3 linked regions of the Arabidopsis thaliana genome follow. The protein of the gene in region 1 purifies or fractionates together with the protein of each later gene. This does not show direct contact. Each region holds a gene or a part of one and is shown in the gene's direction. Other genes may lie near its edges.

The links.
Region 2: the proteins of PDE312 (region 1) and MURE fractionate together in Arabidopsis thaliana (co-fractionation; one large-scale study listed by BioGRID). This does not show direct contact.
Region 3: the proteins of PDE312 (region 1) and FLN2 fractionate together in Arabidopsis thaliana (co-fractionation; one large-scale study listed by BioGRID). This does not show direct contact.

Annotation. Positions count from the first base shown.
Region 1 is NC_003074.8:17,960,449-17,966,186, forward strand, and holds PDE312 (Nucleic acid-binding, OB-fold-like protein), read left to right. Parts: upstream 1-1,714; 5' UTR 1,715-1,760; coding exon 1,761-2,489; intron 2,490-2,580; coding exon 2,581-2,640; intron 2,641-2,734; coding exon 2,735-2,764; intron 2,765-2,842; coding exon 2,843-2,916; intron 2,917-3,056; coding exon 3,057-3,299; intron 3,300-3,420; coding exon 3,421-3,487; intron 3,488-3,572; coding exon 3,573-3,665; intron 3,666-3,778; coding exon 3,779-3,955; intron 3,956-4,032; coding exon 4,033-4,083; intron 4,084-4,320; coding exon 4,321-4,472; intron 4,473-4,542; coding exon 4,543-4,960; 3' UTR 4,961-5,165; downstream 5,166-5,738. Other genes in the region: AT3G48490 (uncharacterized protein), read left to right, coding at 890-983, 1,084-1,352.
Region 2 is NC_003070.9:23,612,722-23,618,466, forward strand, and holds MURE (ALBINO OR PALE-GREEN 13), read left to right. Parts: upstream 1-1,618; 5' UTR 1,619-1,739; coding exon 1,740-3,600; intron 3,601-3,712; coding exon 3,713-3,829; intron 3,830-3,917; coding exon 3,918-4,093; intron 4,094-4,230; coding exon 4,231-4,376; intron 4,377-4,507; coding exon 4,508-4,526; 3' UTR 4,527-4,695; exon of another isoform or gene 4,696-4,837; 3' UTR 4,838-5,191; downstream 5,192-5,745. UniProt on the Arabidopsis thaliana protein: Involved in chloroplast biogenesis. Required for thylakoid membrane development. Seems to be required for plastid-encoded plastid RNA polymerase (PEP)-dependent gene expression.
Region 3 is NC_003070.9:26,014,131-26,018,969, forward strand, and holds FLN2 (fructokinase-like protein), read left to right. Parts: upstream 1-1,893; coding exon 1,894-1,934; intron 1,935-2,182; coding exon 2,183-2,517; intron 2,518-2,599; coding exon 2,600-3,252; intron 3,253-3,332; coding exon 3,333-3,804; intron 3,805-3,891; coding exon 3,892-4,235; downstream 4,236-4,839. Other genes in the region: AT1G69190 (Dihydropterin pyrophosphokinase / Dihydropteroate synthase), read right to left, coding at 1-451, 576-579; AT1G69210 (Uncharacterized protein family UPF0090), read right to left, coding at 4,453-4,752. UniProt on the Arabidopsis thaliana protein: Required for proper chloroplast development, most likely through regulating plastid-encoded polymerase (PEP) dependent chloroplast transcription.

The DNA of each region.
Region 1 (5,738 bases):
TTGGCTTCTCGGTATATGTTCATTTCGAATTTATCGGTCATAAAAGACGAGATGTAAGAGTACTGGTACGATTAAATCCCCAAGTGTTGCATCTATGATGAGCCACAAGTTCTATCTTGTAACGCCTACACATGAGCGACCATGAAGAAGAATGGTGCAGAGACATGAACATGACACGAAAATGTGGAGACTCGATAATAGATTTCCACTGCTTACAAACCAGTTTAGAAGTCGTGATCATTTTTAGTGGTAATTGTGCAAGTATAATTGTCCATAGATCATCTGTGAAGAAACATATTCTTATTCATATGTGTTATTGGGATTTACTAAGGTGTATTTAAATACTGAATTTCACATAAATTTATTTCTCAATAATATCTAGCTTTTGCTGATAAATCTACGTAACATAATGGTATGTAAAAAAAAAGTAGATTATAAATTTAATATATGTGTACATAATAAACAGTAAGAGATTTGATCAAATTATATCTTTTCATGCTATTTAGTATTGTAATTTTCTGAAATAATCAATTATCCTAAAACAAGTTCATAAATAAAAAGTTAATATCCTAAACAATATTTACGTTTAATATATTTTCTCTATTAATACTAGATTTGATGGAAATTTTATCTATTTTAGTTATTTTATATAAAAAGTTTTTTTGGTTTATAATAATGAAAAACGTGATTAATGATAAAATCATAATAAGAGCGAAGGGCCCATTATAACAGCATTTATTTGGGCCGTTGTTGGTCTCAGGTTCCCGCTCTTTTTTATCGATCGAGGCGCCAAAACACAAAGAATCGATTATATGTTGTCATCTTTCAGATTGTCAATTCAAAGAAGACGATCAGATCTAATTGACTCGAGAGAGAGAGAGAGAGACGTATGTTTGGGAGGCTGAGACCACCGCCGTCGCCGCCGGATTGTCTGGAGAGATATCCGGCGAAGATCATCAAAGACGATCCTCTCTCCGTCTACGGTATAATAAATACACACTCTTTCCATTTTCATGTGATTCTGATTGTCCAATAGAAATCTCTAGGTTTTGAAATCCTTGGTTTCTTTTGATGGCATTGTAGAGTCAACACTGTTGAAACTTAAGCAAGGGTCAACAAGACAGGACACTACTTCATCAGAAACAGAAGGTGAAGAGAATCTGTCATCAACATCATCGTCTCATGTCTTGTCTTCGGATACACAATTAGGAGACACTCATGATGCAATGGCTATAGACTCGTGTGAAAGCTCGAAACAGATAAAGAGCAAGAACCCATCAGTACTATCCATGTTTAGCAAGTACAAGAATCAAGCTCAAGCACGAAACATGAAGACAGAGACTCAGGAATGATTTGTAAACAAATGTATCCCAAGTTCATGTGTGTTGTACTTTGATTATGTACAATTTAACTACATTGTTAGTAAGGAGTCTATATAGATGCCTGTATCAAAACATCTCTCAATCATGTGTTTATTACTTTAGCCTAAACAAGCTTTATGATCTTTAACCAACGGTGTTGATAGTACTGGTCATGTAGGGGTTCATCCATAACTAAACGTCTAAACCTTATATTAAAATGGGTCTAACTGATCAATCAAAAACATTTGGGGTCAAAACAATATATTGGATAAATATAAGGGTTCATCAAAAAAAACTTAACATTTCTTCTTCACTGTAAAATGAAATAAAGCTTATCCATACTCAACTTCTTCACTCTCTCTTAAACCTTCAAAAACCCTGAAGAGTGACGAATGAATCATGCAGATTTGCCAAACCAAGCTCAATTTCACTTTCCCTAATCCCACAAACCCTAATTTCTGCAAACCCAAAGCTCTTCAATGGTCACCGCCTCGTCGCATATCCTTGCTGCCTTGTCGTGGATTCAGCTCCGATGAATTCCCAGTCGACGAAACCTTCCTCGAGAAATTCGGACCAAAGGACAAAGACACAGAAGATGAAGCTCGACGACGTAACTGGATCGAACGTGGTTGGGCTCCATGGGAAGAGATTCTCACACCAGAAGCTGATTTCGCTCGTAAATCTCTCAACGAAGGTGAAGAAGTTCCGCTTCAATCGCCGGAAGCGATCGAAGCGTTTAAGATGCTGAGACCATCGTATAGGAAGAAGAAGATTAAGGAGATGGGGATAACAGAAGACGAATGGTATGCAAAGCAATTTGAGATTAGAGGTGATAAACCACCTCCTTTAGAAACATCTTGGGCTGGTCCGATGGTTCTTAGGCAAATTCCGCCGCGTGATTGGCCTCCCAGAGGTTGGGAAGTTGATAGGAAGGAGCTGGAGTTTATTAGGGAAGCTCATAAGTTAATGGCTGAAAGAGTTTGGCTTGAGGATTTGGATAAGGATTTGAGAGTTGGTGAAGATGCTACTGTTGATAAGATGTGTTTGGAGAGGTTTAAGGTTTTCTTGAAACAATACAAGGAATGGGTTGAAGATAATAAAGATAGGTTGGAGGAAGAATCTTACAAGGTTCGTTTTTTTTTTTGAACAATGAGATATTGTTAGCTTAGTGGTGGCTAAGAGAAGGATTCTAATAAAGATGATGTTTTTATTTATACAGCTCGATCAGGATTTTTATCCGGGTAGGAGGAAAAGAGGGAAGGATTACGAAGATGGGATGGTAAATATTATTATGCTACTGGATTTGATTGTTTGATTAGTTTGCTAGATGATGAACTGTTTGTAAGTTAATTGCTTTATTTTTCTTTGTGCAGTATGAGCTTCCCTTTTACTATCCAGGGATGGTAAGAATTCTTATTCTAAGCCTTGTATATTGTAACTAATGATTGGTTTAAATGAGCAATATCGTAATGTCCATGCAGGTTTGTGAAGGCACAGTTACCACTTTACATCTGTATCAGGGAGCGTTTGTTGACATTGGAGGTGTTCATGAAGGGTATGTTTATGTCTCTTTACTTTGTAAAGATAGACTTACCGTGGTTCTTGTATTTAGGGTATATAACGTAATATAATGTTGTCTCTTGTTTCATATGCTTTTTTTGAAAGATGTAAGTTTATGTGTCTATTGGTTTGCAGATGGGTACCTATAAAAGGTAATGACTGGTTTTGGATCCGGCATTTCATAAAAGTTGGGATGCATGTTATCGTTGAAATCACGGTAATCTTAAGGCACATATTCTTCTTTCGCATTTATAAAAATCTGAATGGAAATTGCTTCATTCTCCTTTTTCTTTTGTTCTTTCAGGCAAAAAGAGATCCATACCGGTTTCGGTTTCCCTTGGAGTTGCGCTTCGTCCATCCTAACATAGATCACATGATGTATGTAATTCACACGTATTTAATTCTCTTTACATATCCAGTAAAAATTGGCATTTTGGTTCTGTCCTCAATGGTCTTGGTTATGGTATATGTGTTGACTGTTTTTACATTCCTGCTCCAGATTTAATAAATTTGACTTCCCACCAATATTCCATCGTGATGGGGATACTAATCCAGATGAGATACGGGTCAGTAGAATCCTTTCCTAGAATATCAATCCATTTCGTGTTCTCGTGAAGAGTCTCCCTCTTATCTAATACATTGTTTGTACAGCGAGATTGTGGAAGACCTCCTGAACCTAGAAAAGATCCAGGATCAAAGCCAGAGGAGGAAGGGCTGCTCTCTGATCACCCTTATGTCGACAAGGTATTTTCCTGAGCAAAAGGGTTGGTTATGTGATTTTTGCTTTGTTTACTCATTAGGTTTATTGGCTTTCTAAATTTTGTGAAACCGTCAACACATTTCTTTCCCGTTTGCAGTTGTGGCAGATACATGTAGCTGAGCAAATGATTTTGGGTGATTACGAAGCTAACCCTGCAAAATACGAAGGCAAAAAGCTATCAGAATTATCTGATGATGAAGACTTTGATGAACAAAAGGATATCGAGTATGGCGAAGCTTATTATAAGAAAACCAAATTGCCAAAAGTGATTCTGGTGAGAGTTTCTTCTGGTGTGTTCGTGAAACCATACTGTCTTAAGCTTTGTGATTAAATGTGTTCTATTTCTGGCAGAAAACCAGTGTCAAGGAACTTGACTTAGAGGCTGCATTGACCGAGCGCCAGGTTTAAATTCTCTTCCCTACTTGTCGTCACCAATTTCCTTTAACCCACTGCTACGGAAATATTCTCGTTTGTATTTGTTTATTTTTAATAGATTTCCACTTCACACTGTCTTGGTAACTCCGATTGTCGTCACAGTTCCATTTTAAGGCTTTGCACTTTGTAATTGACACATTGTTGTATGAATCTTTTATACTGATAGTGGTTAATAACTCAATACTCTCCTGTTGTCTTGTGCAGCACCACAATAAACTAATGATGGAAGCTAAAGCAAGAGGAGAAGGATACAAAATTGACAAGCTCAGACGAAATATAGAGATGGACGAGTATGATTTCTTACACTGGCGCCGATCTTTGGAGGAAAGAGAAGCATTGCTCAGAGATATCAGCTCGTAAGTAAAAAAAAGTTCACTTTGATGTTTTTCAAAGAAAGTGTTTAGATGAAGAAGATTTATTTTGCAGTCGGCAAGCACTTGGTTTACCATTGGAGGAACCAGGGAGGTACAAGCCAGGAAGCTTCTTTGGGAAAGACCAGTACGATCCAACAAGTGCATTATATCAGTATGACTACTGGGGAGAGCCAAAGAACTCAGAGATTAGCAAGCAAGAGAGAATGAAGGATGCACACAACAAATCCATTGTTGGGAAAGGCAATGTGTGGTATGACATGTCTTACGATGATGCGATTAAGCAGACAATAGAGAAAAGAAAAGAAGGGTCTACCTTGGCGAGTCAAGAAGAAGAAACAGAGTCAGAGGAAGAAGAAGAGGATGACGATGATTTTGACGATTTTGACTATAGCATTCTGAGTGATGAGAGCAGTATCGGTTACTCGGAACAGCAACCTCTTGTTAACGGTACTCAAGTCTTGACAGACTGATGTTTAAAAGGAAAGTAAAAATAAGAAATTGTCGAGGTTGATTTATTTGAATTTTTGTCTGTTAGGTTTGATCTATTTGATAGTTTTTTTTTTTCATTTCTTCTTATCCCGGAGATAGTAAAATCAGTTTCTTATTAACTTAGCCAGACGTTTGGGATCTTGTAGTACACCGTTGAACGTTAGGAACGTGACGTTTTTTGTTTTTTCTATCAATCGTCGTCAGAGAAGGTAGTCTTGACACCGCAAAATACGCCTAAATGTTTCTCTTGTTTCTTCTGTTTGGGCTCCAAAACATCAACTTCTATCAAAAGGCTTTCTCGTTCGTACCTGGAATATCAAAAACCCTTGTCATCTCTCCGTGTATACCAAAAACTTCACACCATGTGTGCTCTTTGATGACAAAACTCTTAAGGCAAACTCTTACCAAAGCTACTCTGCAAGGTTGTACCTAATTCACAAAAATAATAGCATTAAACTTGTACAATGACATCAAAACTCTAAAGCAATAAGTTAGAGAACCAAATCTCCATAACATGGAAAATCAGTTTACTTGGGTCGGAGAGGGTATGGAGCTATCTCAGCTACGGAGAAGATGAAAACAGAGACGGTTTATTAGCCTGGAAGAGTTCGTTGAGAGCAGCAAAAGAAGTTATAAATATAAACCTTGAAGAGGAAGAGAGCGAGAGAAAAGAGGTGCTCCGAGTTGTATATGCTCGTTAAGGGTTTTCGCTCTTCTTTGTGGGCCTTAAAAGGCTAATAAGCTTCGGCCCAATTTTAT
Region 2 (5,745 bases), on another chromosome or scaffold:
TAAAGCGTAGTTGTATTTGTTAAAATATCCAGTGTGAAGTGTTACATTATAAATGATGAATGTCTATCAAGTTTTCCATACATTTTTTTTCATAAGATCAAGAGAAAATAAAGAGAATTATATCTTCTTCTTTTTTAAAGAAAACACAATTAAGAGATAAATAATTAAATCATGTACATTATAGCATGTGTAGGTCACGTGTTATGAAAATGGGCTGAAGAAAGTGTAGAAGTGAGGCCCAAGACGAAGGGACCACAAAGGGTGTATTAAACCAACTCAACTGTACATGGCGGTGGTCGGTCCACGTTCCAAATTAAAGTGGCCATGTGGTTTTATCGTCTTCTATCAACGACCAAAATACGGCTCTCCAAATAAGAGAAAAACAAATACAAAACTACGTTATACTACTAACTGACTTTAGTGCAAAAAAACTTAATATAACTTAGGCTCTTAATGATCATGTACATGGCGGGACAGATTTGTATGCATAGCAGATAATATAATATCAAAAATCATGAAATTTTGGATGCAATTCCATCTCTTTTACACCCATTTCTCTACTAGGGCGTTAGAAAGTCTAACATTAGAAGTTGGACTTTAGTTACTCAATGCCAATTAGAATCTAAACTTCGGCCAACTATAGATAAAACCATTAGCTTTTTACAAAATCAAGAAATAAAATCAACCTCTTATGTCAGAAAACCAAGAGCCATCAATCTTTTTCTTCTATAAACAATTCAAATAAAACGTTTGTTTGGTTCTCTGCAACAACATAGCAAATTAGCAATCATTAAGCAATTTTGTCTACTCATCAAACAAAAATATTTCTCTGTAACGAAAAAAAGATAGTGGGCTAATATTATGGGCCATGAGACTGCCTTAGAAGCCCATCCTTTCACTACACACTTTGTAATATACATTAGAAACCCTATAAATTAATACTCGATAAATTAATAAACACGATAAATTAATAAATTTTGCCGGTCGAAGTCGGGCCAATGTAAAAATTAACGAAAATCGATAAGATAATAAAATAATAATTTTTTGAAACCCCTATGTAAAAATATAGTCCCAATAATATCATAAATTAATAATCATAAATCTTAAGCATACATTCTAAGACTAATTTTATATGAAACTTTTATTCAAGCTACAATTGCAACTCTTTTTAGAATAGAGTTGGTATGATCTCTTTTATACTCACATAATTCTTTGCGTATTTGATCCGTCATATTTGGTTTTGTAACATTTTTTCTATGAAAAACCATTGCTAAGATTTTTGTAAAGAAAAATTGATTTAACCTCCACGTTAACGTCGTAGATATAGAGACACTATATCTTGCAGAAAAATAAATTTAAAATATCAAAAATAAAATTAAAGATCTAACATAATTGAATATACAAATAACAAAATATGAGAAAAATACTAAATCGGAAAAGCATTTTTAAAATAATTTAGTATTGTGTTTTACGTTAATATTCTATTAATTACTATTTATTAATTTATAAAATAAATTAATATTATTATAAATTAATAAAAATTTATAGTCCAATCATTATTAATTTATAGAGTTTCTCCTGTACATATCTTTTAATCGTTTTTAGTACACACTGCACCGTTTTATCGGCGTCTTTGATTTCTTTAAACGCATCGTTTGTAACCCAAAAATGAAAAAACCCAACTCTTATCCCCTGGAAAAAACCTTTCACTGCTTGCTTTCTCAGTCTCTCTGTCTCCAATGGCGTTCACCTTTCTCTCTCCTCACCCAGTCTTTCTCTCTCTAACTGGAACAACCTCTTCCTTCTCCTACAAACCAGTTCTCTTACCATTCTCTCGAAATTCCCGTACTCTCACGGTTGCGGCGGGACCTGCTCGCCGGAATTCGTACCCGAACCCTGCTGATGACGATCCACCTGAAGCACCGGAGGATTCAATGCACGGAGTTTCGAAGTTTCAGCAGATCCAGCGTCAAGCTGCTCGTGCACGGAAGCTAGAGGAAGAAGATTTCGAGAAGAATCGGAACACTTATCTCTCCGCTATCGCCGATGTGGAAGACGCGGCGGAGACGGGACGAGATGACGAAGAATCTGGTGGAGACTTGTTCTCTGATATCGATAGAGCAATCTCCATGAAACGTAGTGAGTTTGTTAAGCAAGGATTGCTCAAACCTAATCCTCCCAAAACGGCATCGCTTAAGAAGATTGGGGAGGAGGGAAATGAGGAAGAAGGTGATGTTACTGACGATGTTGATGAGCTTGATGAAGAAGAAGTTGTTGATTTGGATGAAATTGATAAATTAACTGGATTAACAGAGATTTCTGATGAAGAAGATTGGGTTGATGAGGAAGGTAACACTAGGATCAACAAGAAGAAGGAGTTTGGGTCTGATCATCAATTTGAATTCGATTTGGATGATTTTGGTGAATCTAAAGCGAGAATCGTGGAACCTAAGTTCAAAATGTGCTTAGCTGAGCTTTTAGATGAGAGTAAAGTGGTACCAATCTCAGTTTACGGCGATTTAGATGTCGAAATCACCGGGATTCAACATGATTCGCGCGGTGTGAGCGCCGGAGATCTCTTCGTGTGTTGTTTAGGAAGTGAAAATTTCTTGAGTGAAGCAGATAAGAGAGGAGCAGTGGCGGTTGTAGCTAGCAAAGAGATTGATATTGAAGATACTTTAGGTTGCAGAGCACTTGTCATTGTTGAAGATACGAATGCAGTTTTAGCAGCTTTAGCTTCTTCCTTTTATAGGCATCCCTCGAAGAACATGTCGGTGATTGGAGTTACTGGTACGGATGGGAAAACGACTACTACGTATTTGATTAAGAGCCTCTATGAAGCGATGGGTGTGAGAACAGGAATGTTTAGCACAGTTTCTTGTTATATTCATGGCGATAACAAATTGGATACGCCTAATGCTACGATGAATCCTGATGCTGTTTTGGTTCAGAGTTTGATGGCTAAGATGTTGCATAATGGAACTGAATCTTTGGTTATGGAAGCTTCTCCTCAAGAACTTGCTTTAGGGAAATGTGATGAAGTGGATTTCGACATTGCGGTTTTCACAAATTTGACTAGAGAAAATACGGATTTTCGTGGTACTGATGAAGAGTATAGAGATGCTGAAGCCAAGTTGTTTTCAAGAATGGTTGATCCGGAAAGGCATAGGAAAGTGGTTAACATAGATGATCCAAACGCAGCATTCTTTGTCCAGCAAGGGAATCCTAATGTTCCTGTTGTGACATTTGCCATGGAAAACACCAAAGCCGATGTTCACCCGTTAAAGTTTGAGCTTTCCTTGTTTGAGACACAGGTTTTGGTTAATACCCCTCAAGGTATACTGGAGATCTCTTCGGGTTTGTTAGGACGGCATAACATTTATAATATTCTTGCTGCTGTGGCTGTTGGGATTGCTGTTGGAGCTCCTCTTGAGGATATTGTTAGAGGTGTTGAGGAAGTCGATGCAGTCCCAGGAAGGTGTGAGTTGATTGATGAGGAACAAGCTTTTGGTGTTATTGTGGATCATGCAAACACACCTGATGGCTTGTCAAGGCTGCTAGATTCAATTCGAGAGCTTAAACCGAGAAGAATCATTACCGGTATAGATATTTTCTTCCATCTAATAGATACTCTTTGCCTGTTCGGCCGTTCCTATGGTCTTTATATGTGTGGTCATCTGATTATTTTAGTTGTTTTATTTATTTATTGAAGTTATTGGTTGTGAGGGTGAGAATGAAAGAGGGAAAAGACCGCTTATGACGAAAATTGCTACTGAAAAGAGCGATGTGACGATGTTGACATCTGATAATCCGAGGAATGAAGATCCATGTAAGTAACTCTAAGAATTAGATTGAGTCTATCTCCCTTGAGTGTTTCTGGAGGTATATTAACAGTTAATTTTCCAATGTGGTTTTAGTGGACATCTTGGATGACATGTTGTCTGGGATTGGATGGACGATGCAAGAGTATTTGAAACATGGCGAACACGATTACTATCCGCCTTTGGCAAATGGTCATAGACTCTTCCTTCACGATATTAGACGTGTAGCTGTACGTTGTGCTGTTGCTATGGGTGAAGAAGGTGATATGGTTGTAAGTATTCAAATAAACCCACACTCTATACAGTACTTTACTGAGTGTGTTATCAAAGTTGCTGGATTTACCTTTATGAGCAATCAAAGTAATATAGTTCTCGGGTAAATAGCTTTGCTTGACACTGATTTTTGCAGGTTGTAGCTGGGAAAGGGCATGAAGCGTATCAGCTTGAAGGTGAAAAGAAAGAGTTTTATGATGACAGAGAGGAATGTCGGGAAGCATTACAATACGTTGATGAGCTTCACCAAGCTGGAATAGACACAAGCGAGTTCCCATGGCGGTAAGTAGAACCGTAACAGCTAAAACAACCAACGATAACCAAAGTTTCTAATCTGTGAAGAGTTGCTGAAACTTGTCAAGATGCTTCACGATCACTAATCTGTTCTTCCTTGTATTACTGTGCTTCTGCAGGTTACCAGAGAGTCATTAATATCTCTGTGGTGAAATCATTAGAAGAGAAGTTAGCTTAGTCCATGAAACCAGATTTTCTTCCACCATGGTCCAATTCTCTTGCGAAGATCGATTTGCACAGAGGTAATGAATTCTACACAAGTGACATAAAAATCATGCCCAAGGAAAAGAGATTACACCACTGGGAGGTACTTAACGTTCCAATCACCATTACCTTAAAGTTATTCCATTGCTCACTTCACCTGTTTTTTTGGACAAGAGGAAACCTAAGCTATCGAAATGTAATATTAGACTAAACTTAATTCAGATTTTCTGTCATTGTTACCGCAGGAGGAAGATTTTAAAGGTGGAAGAAGATGCGTACAAATTTTGTAAGGGTTAAAAACCCAAAAATGTAAGTGGTTCTGTTTTGGGTATGTTTTGATAGCATGTGTTTAATTTAGATGAACCAATTCAAACCGAACCAACAAAAATAGATTCCGGTTTAAATTATTTATTTTCTTACATGTATCCAAACTTGAAAAAAGTGAATTCAAAGAAAAAAGAAAACGATGAAAATACGGTTTCAATTTCTTAATATGAAAAATTGAGAAAGTAGGAAGACATGATTGAACAATAATAAGATTAGGCCTTGTGATATATTGTGACAAGAACATAAATTACGAATGTTTGGCAATGGTGCTAGGGAATATAGTCTTTTGAAACTATTAAGCATACTTTGAATTTTATATTCTGGTTATAAATTAAAAGATTTCCCAATATCCATTCGTATTTTTGGGACCACTCCACCAAAACCAATCTAATCAAAATATAAAACCAAATAAATAATAATTTGCTTAGAGATAGAAAACATGTTATGTCCGAGGAAATTGTCCTAAATGTCGCAACAAACGTCAATTCATTAATCGTTTTGTTTAATACAAATTTCGACAAGATTGTGATAGATCCAGAACCAGTTTAGCTAAACCGGTTGAATCAGAAGAAACGCCAAAACCCGGTCCAATAGCTCGACCTAACGCCGTCGTTTTCAAAGTTCCTTCACTCTACTTCCTTCTCGCTTACGTCACTTTCCACAGATCCAACAATGATATCAGATAAAATTAAAATATTCCCAATATATTTTCTAAGAATATCTCCCTATTTATTTTTATTTATTTAAACTATTTTAATCTCTTCCGTGTTTCACTCTTCTCTCTCTCTCGCTTCTCTTCATTGTTTGTGTGTGATTACAGCGAAGA
Region 3 (4,839 bases), on another chromosome or scaffold:
ATTTTATCATTATCAATATCTTCCGTTCCAAGCAAATCTACCAAAGGTGCTAAAACAAATGGTCTTTCCCAGATTCTCTCATGGGGAATGATAAGTTTATCAGAAATTATCTTGTGCTTTCCATAGAACAATATGTCCAAGTCAAGTGGTCTTGGTCCATACCTTAAACCATTTTCTTCACGACCCATCTCTTTCTCAATTTTCTTGAGAACGTTCAAGAGTTCATGAGGTTTGAGCTTTGTGACACCTCTTATTGCAGCGTTGAGAAATCTTGGTTGGTCGGTCACATGAACAGGTTCTGTTTCGTACAAACAACTGTGTCTGGTTACACTGATCCCATAGTCTTTCATCAATCGTAAAGCTTCTTTGAAATTATTCATTCTGTTTCCAACATTGCTTCCCAAAGCTATCACGACTTCTTCGAAAGTTGTTGTTTCCAAAGATGTGAAATCTGAGTCATATACAAAACATGTTTCGAAGGTGAAATATGATTCAATACTTAACAGAAATTAGTGTATCAAAACGTAAACGCTGTTTTTTTCAACGAAAATGAAACGGATGAAAAAGATACGAACCCATTTTAGAATAGGTTCCTCCAAAATATCAGTATTGTCTGCTTCGATCTGACCTTAAAGTATACAAAACTATGAGTTTAGTCTTAGATAACAACGAAACAATTATTAGAAACACAAAAAATGGGTTCTAATATTTTAAGAACCAAGGAAGTAAACAATACTTATGTATGAGAGAGGCAAGGTGGTAGCCAATTTTCACCTACTTTTTTTCTGAACTTGTTGTGTTATCCAAGTACCTTCTGTCTTTCACGCTCGTCAAAAGTCAGCTTCTCTTTTGAATTAGATATGAAGATCTAGAAAAGAAAAGAAAAAAGAGAAGAAAACTTTGTTTTTAGAGAGATTTTGAAATTGGTAATGAATCTCTCATAATTTTGAAATTGGTAGTGAATCTCTCATAATTCTTTTCATTATCTATTCTATCTTTTACCATTTAAACATATATTTGGATAGATGATGGAAAATTGTGTGTTAGTCTCCAGCTATTTCATTCCATTTTTAAAAAATATCAAAATTTTCATAGATTTGTTCTGACTACATCAATTTTCTTTCATTCCACTCAAGGCACTCATGGTTACATTACCAATAGAAATTAATTAACCATACAAAATTCTAATTATTATAACTCCAGACGATATTATTTTCACTATATAGCAAAAAATAGCCGTTTTACCATAACATATATACAGTCTATATTTTTTGACGAAAAATAAATAAATATACAGTATATATATATATATATATCCTCGTGTTAGAATTGTATTAAGTTTTTCATCACACCATCTTTAGGCATTATTTCTATGCCAATCAAATCATTTACTCGTAAATCATCATAGTAATTATGATTTCAGTTAATCGTAAGTTTTTTGTAGCTTTGTGATGATGAGCCAATTAACTTCACAACAAAATATTTTCCTTGAAGTAGTTTTTTAATAGCAAACGATTTCACGAAAAACTTTACATAACAAATATTTCTACCTACATTAAAAGAATGTCATATAGACAATACTAAATTCACTAGCTTTAAAGAAGAAAAATGAGCCGTAAATAAATTATAGTAGACAGAATAGGGACATCTTGACGTTTTAGTATTTTGATCATAGAATGCTTGCCGTTTCGTTAAAGCGCTAAACCTCCTCCTCATCCTCTCCCAGCTAGCTCCTCTTGCGGTTTCAGAGCTTAAACCCCAATCTCCCTCAAAACTCATAAACATATTGCTCTCCTTTGTTCATTTCTGGGTTTACGCTTCTTTCGACTTTATGGGTTTCGGAGCTTAGTTTTACTACAATTTCGTTTGGAAAAGAGCTCTTATTTGATGTTCATGGCGTCTCTCTCCTTCACCCAATTCTTATCATTCCCCAGGTCCCTTTGCTTCTCTCTCTCTCTTGTTTTCTAACCTTAGGAAATTTTAGTATATGGGTTTCTATGGATTTGGCGTAGAACCAGTTTACTGCCCAAAAATGTGCGAACTTTAAGTTTAGCTCATCTTATCTTTCTACAGAAGAATGGAGTAACAATGATTTGAATTGAGGGCTATATTTGTCTTTCTGTTTGAAAATTTCACATTTTGATGTAATGGTTTTCTCATAGCTGTGCTTTGATTTTGGCAGATGCAATGCAGATGTTCCTTGTCTGCTCCAGTCGCATGGTTTTGTGAAGTTTAGAGGTGAAAGATGGAATGGGAAACAAAGCTTTTCTATGGCTGCTGGTAGGAGAAAGTTATCAGAGTCAGCACCTCTTGAAGAAGAAGGTAATGATGGAAACGGTGCGGTTGTGGGAAAGAAACCATCTAAAAGTGTTAAGAGAACAACGAAGAAGAAGGTTGTGGTTAAGGATGAACCATTAGAAGAAATTTCTGAATTTTTGGTTGATAATGATGATGTTTTAGACAAGGAAAGCATTGTCTCAGCTTTGAAACCAAAAAAGACAAGAACTAGAAAGAAAGGTAATGACTTTTACCATTTCTGAGCTGATGGTTCTCACTTGATGATTCACGAGTACTTAATTTGAATTCGACATATATACAGCTGCAGCAGCTTCTTCTGATGTGGAGGAAGTAAAAACCGAGAAGAAAGTGAGACGAAAGAGGACTGTTAAGAAAGATAAAGATGTGGAGGATGATTTAGCTACTATTATGGATGCTGAGGTTAGTGATGTCGAGGAAGCATTGGCTGTTGAAAGCACTGATACAGAGAGTGAAGAAGAAGAGATTGATCTGAGTAAACATGAAGGTGAAGATATTAGTCACACTTATGGATGGCCTCCTCTCGTGTGTTGCTTTGGATCTGCACAACATGCTTTTGTGCCTTCGGGAAGGCCAGCAAACAGGCTATTAGATTATGAACTACACGAACGGATGAGAGATGCAAAGTGGGCTCCAGAGAAGTATATCCGGGCTCCTGGAGGATGTGCAGGAGGTGTTGCTATTGCTCTTGCAAGCTTGGGTGGTAAGGTTGCTTTTATGGGCAAACTTGGGGCTGATGACTATGGTCAAGCCATGTTGTATTATCTGAATGTGTGCAAAGTCCAAACTAGATCAGTTAAGATTGATGGTAAAAGGGTTACGGCGTGTTCTACTATGAAGATCAGCAAGAGAGGTCGCTTGAAATCGACTTGTATTAAGCCATGTGCAGAGGATTCACTTTCAAAATCTGAAATCAACGTTGATGTGCTCAAAGAGGTAATATATTGTCCTGGAGATTTGGAACATTGAGTTTTTGGCTCTTTTTCTTGTTCACCAATCTCTTAACTTTGGTGCAGGCGAAAATGTTCTACTTCAGCACGCATTCTCTACTCGATAAGAAGATGATGTCAACTACGATACAAGCCATCAAGATATCAAAGCAACTAGGCAATGTCATTTTTTATGACTTGAATCTCCCTTTACCACTATGGCACTCCAGCGAAGAAACCAAGTCTTTCATACAGGAAGTGTGGAATCTTGCAGACGTCATTGAAATCACAAAACAGGAACTTGAATTCTTATGCGGAATCGAGCCTACTGAAGAGTTCGATACAGAAAACAATGACATCAGTAAGTTTGTCCATTACCCGCCAGAAACTGTGGAACAGCTTTGGCATGAAAATCTCAAGGTCTTGTTTGTGACCAATGGCACTTCTAAGATCCATTACTATACCAAAGAGCACAATGGTGCTGTTTCCGGAATGGAGGATGTTCCCATTACTCCTTTTACAAGGGATATGTCAGCATCTGGAGATGGCATCGTTGCAGGTACATTTTCACTTGTGTCATTTGTTTTTCATAGCAATTTGGAAGTTATGCTTGCGATTAACTGAACCACACTACTCTCTATTTCAGGTCTAATAAGAATGCTTACGGTTCAGCCAGATCTTATGAACAATAAAGGGTACCTGGAACGCACAGCGAGATATGCAATTGAGTGTGGTATTATTGATCAATGGTTGCTGGCACAAACCCGAGGATATCCTCCAAAGGATGACATGGAAGAAGAAGAAGATGATGAAGAAGAAGATGAAGTGGAATCAGATCCAAACGGTATAAGATCGATAACAGAGAAGGAATACAGAACCTCAAAGCCTTATGATGAACCAGATGGTCCATACGTTATGAAACCAGTAGAGGAAAGGGAGTACAAGAAGTTAGAGCTTGTTGGCTCAATGTTTGAAGATGGTAGTTTATGATTTTCATAAGATTTGATAATGTTTCTGTTAGTCAGCTTTTTTTTCCTGTTCACATCTTACAACATCTTAGTAGTGTGAATTTTTGTCATATGTTTTGATATCTCACTCACCATCTCAACTAATACAAAATCACTTGAAATTATCCGGAAACAGCAATGTGAAACTGCAGTGACGATGAACTTACTTTAATAGCAACTCTACTTCTACGTCTACTTAACTAATCCAAGTAGAGATTTATCTTCTTGTGATCTGCGAAAGGCAGTGTGATTCTCAAGTCCTTTTGTTTCCGGCTTAACGGTCTGCCTTTGCTTTCGGGATCTCTGTTCTCCCTTACATCTGCTAATTTCCAGACACAGTTATCTGATTCTGCATCTATAGACTCCAAGAGGAACACTCCACTCTTTACTGCTTTCCTCGAGTTTGTTTCTTCTACATAGCTTACTGTCATTGGCATATCCTTGAATCGGGGCAAGTCCTCTGGGACTCTCAGTAGCCTCTCCGCTCCTGGAGATGACACCTACACAGAAAAAAAAAAAACGGAAACAAAATTTTGTAACAAAACTGAACCAAGTGAGAGTTGATTCACTGGGGAAAGACTCTTTTT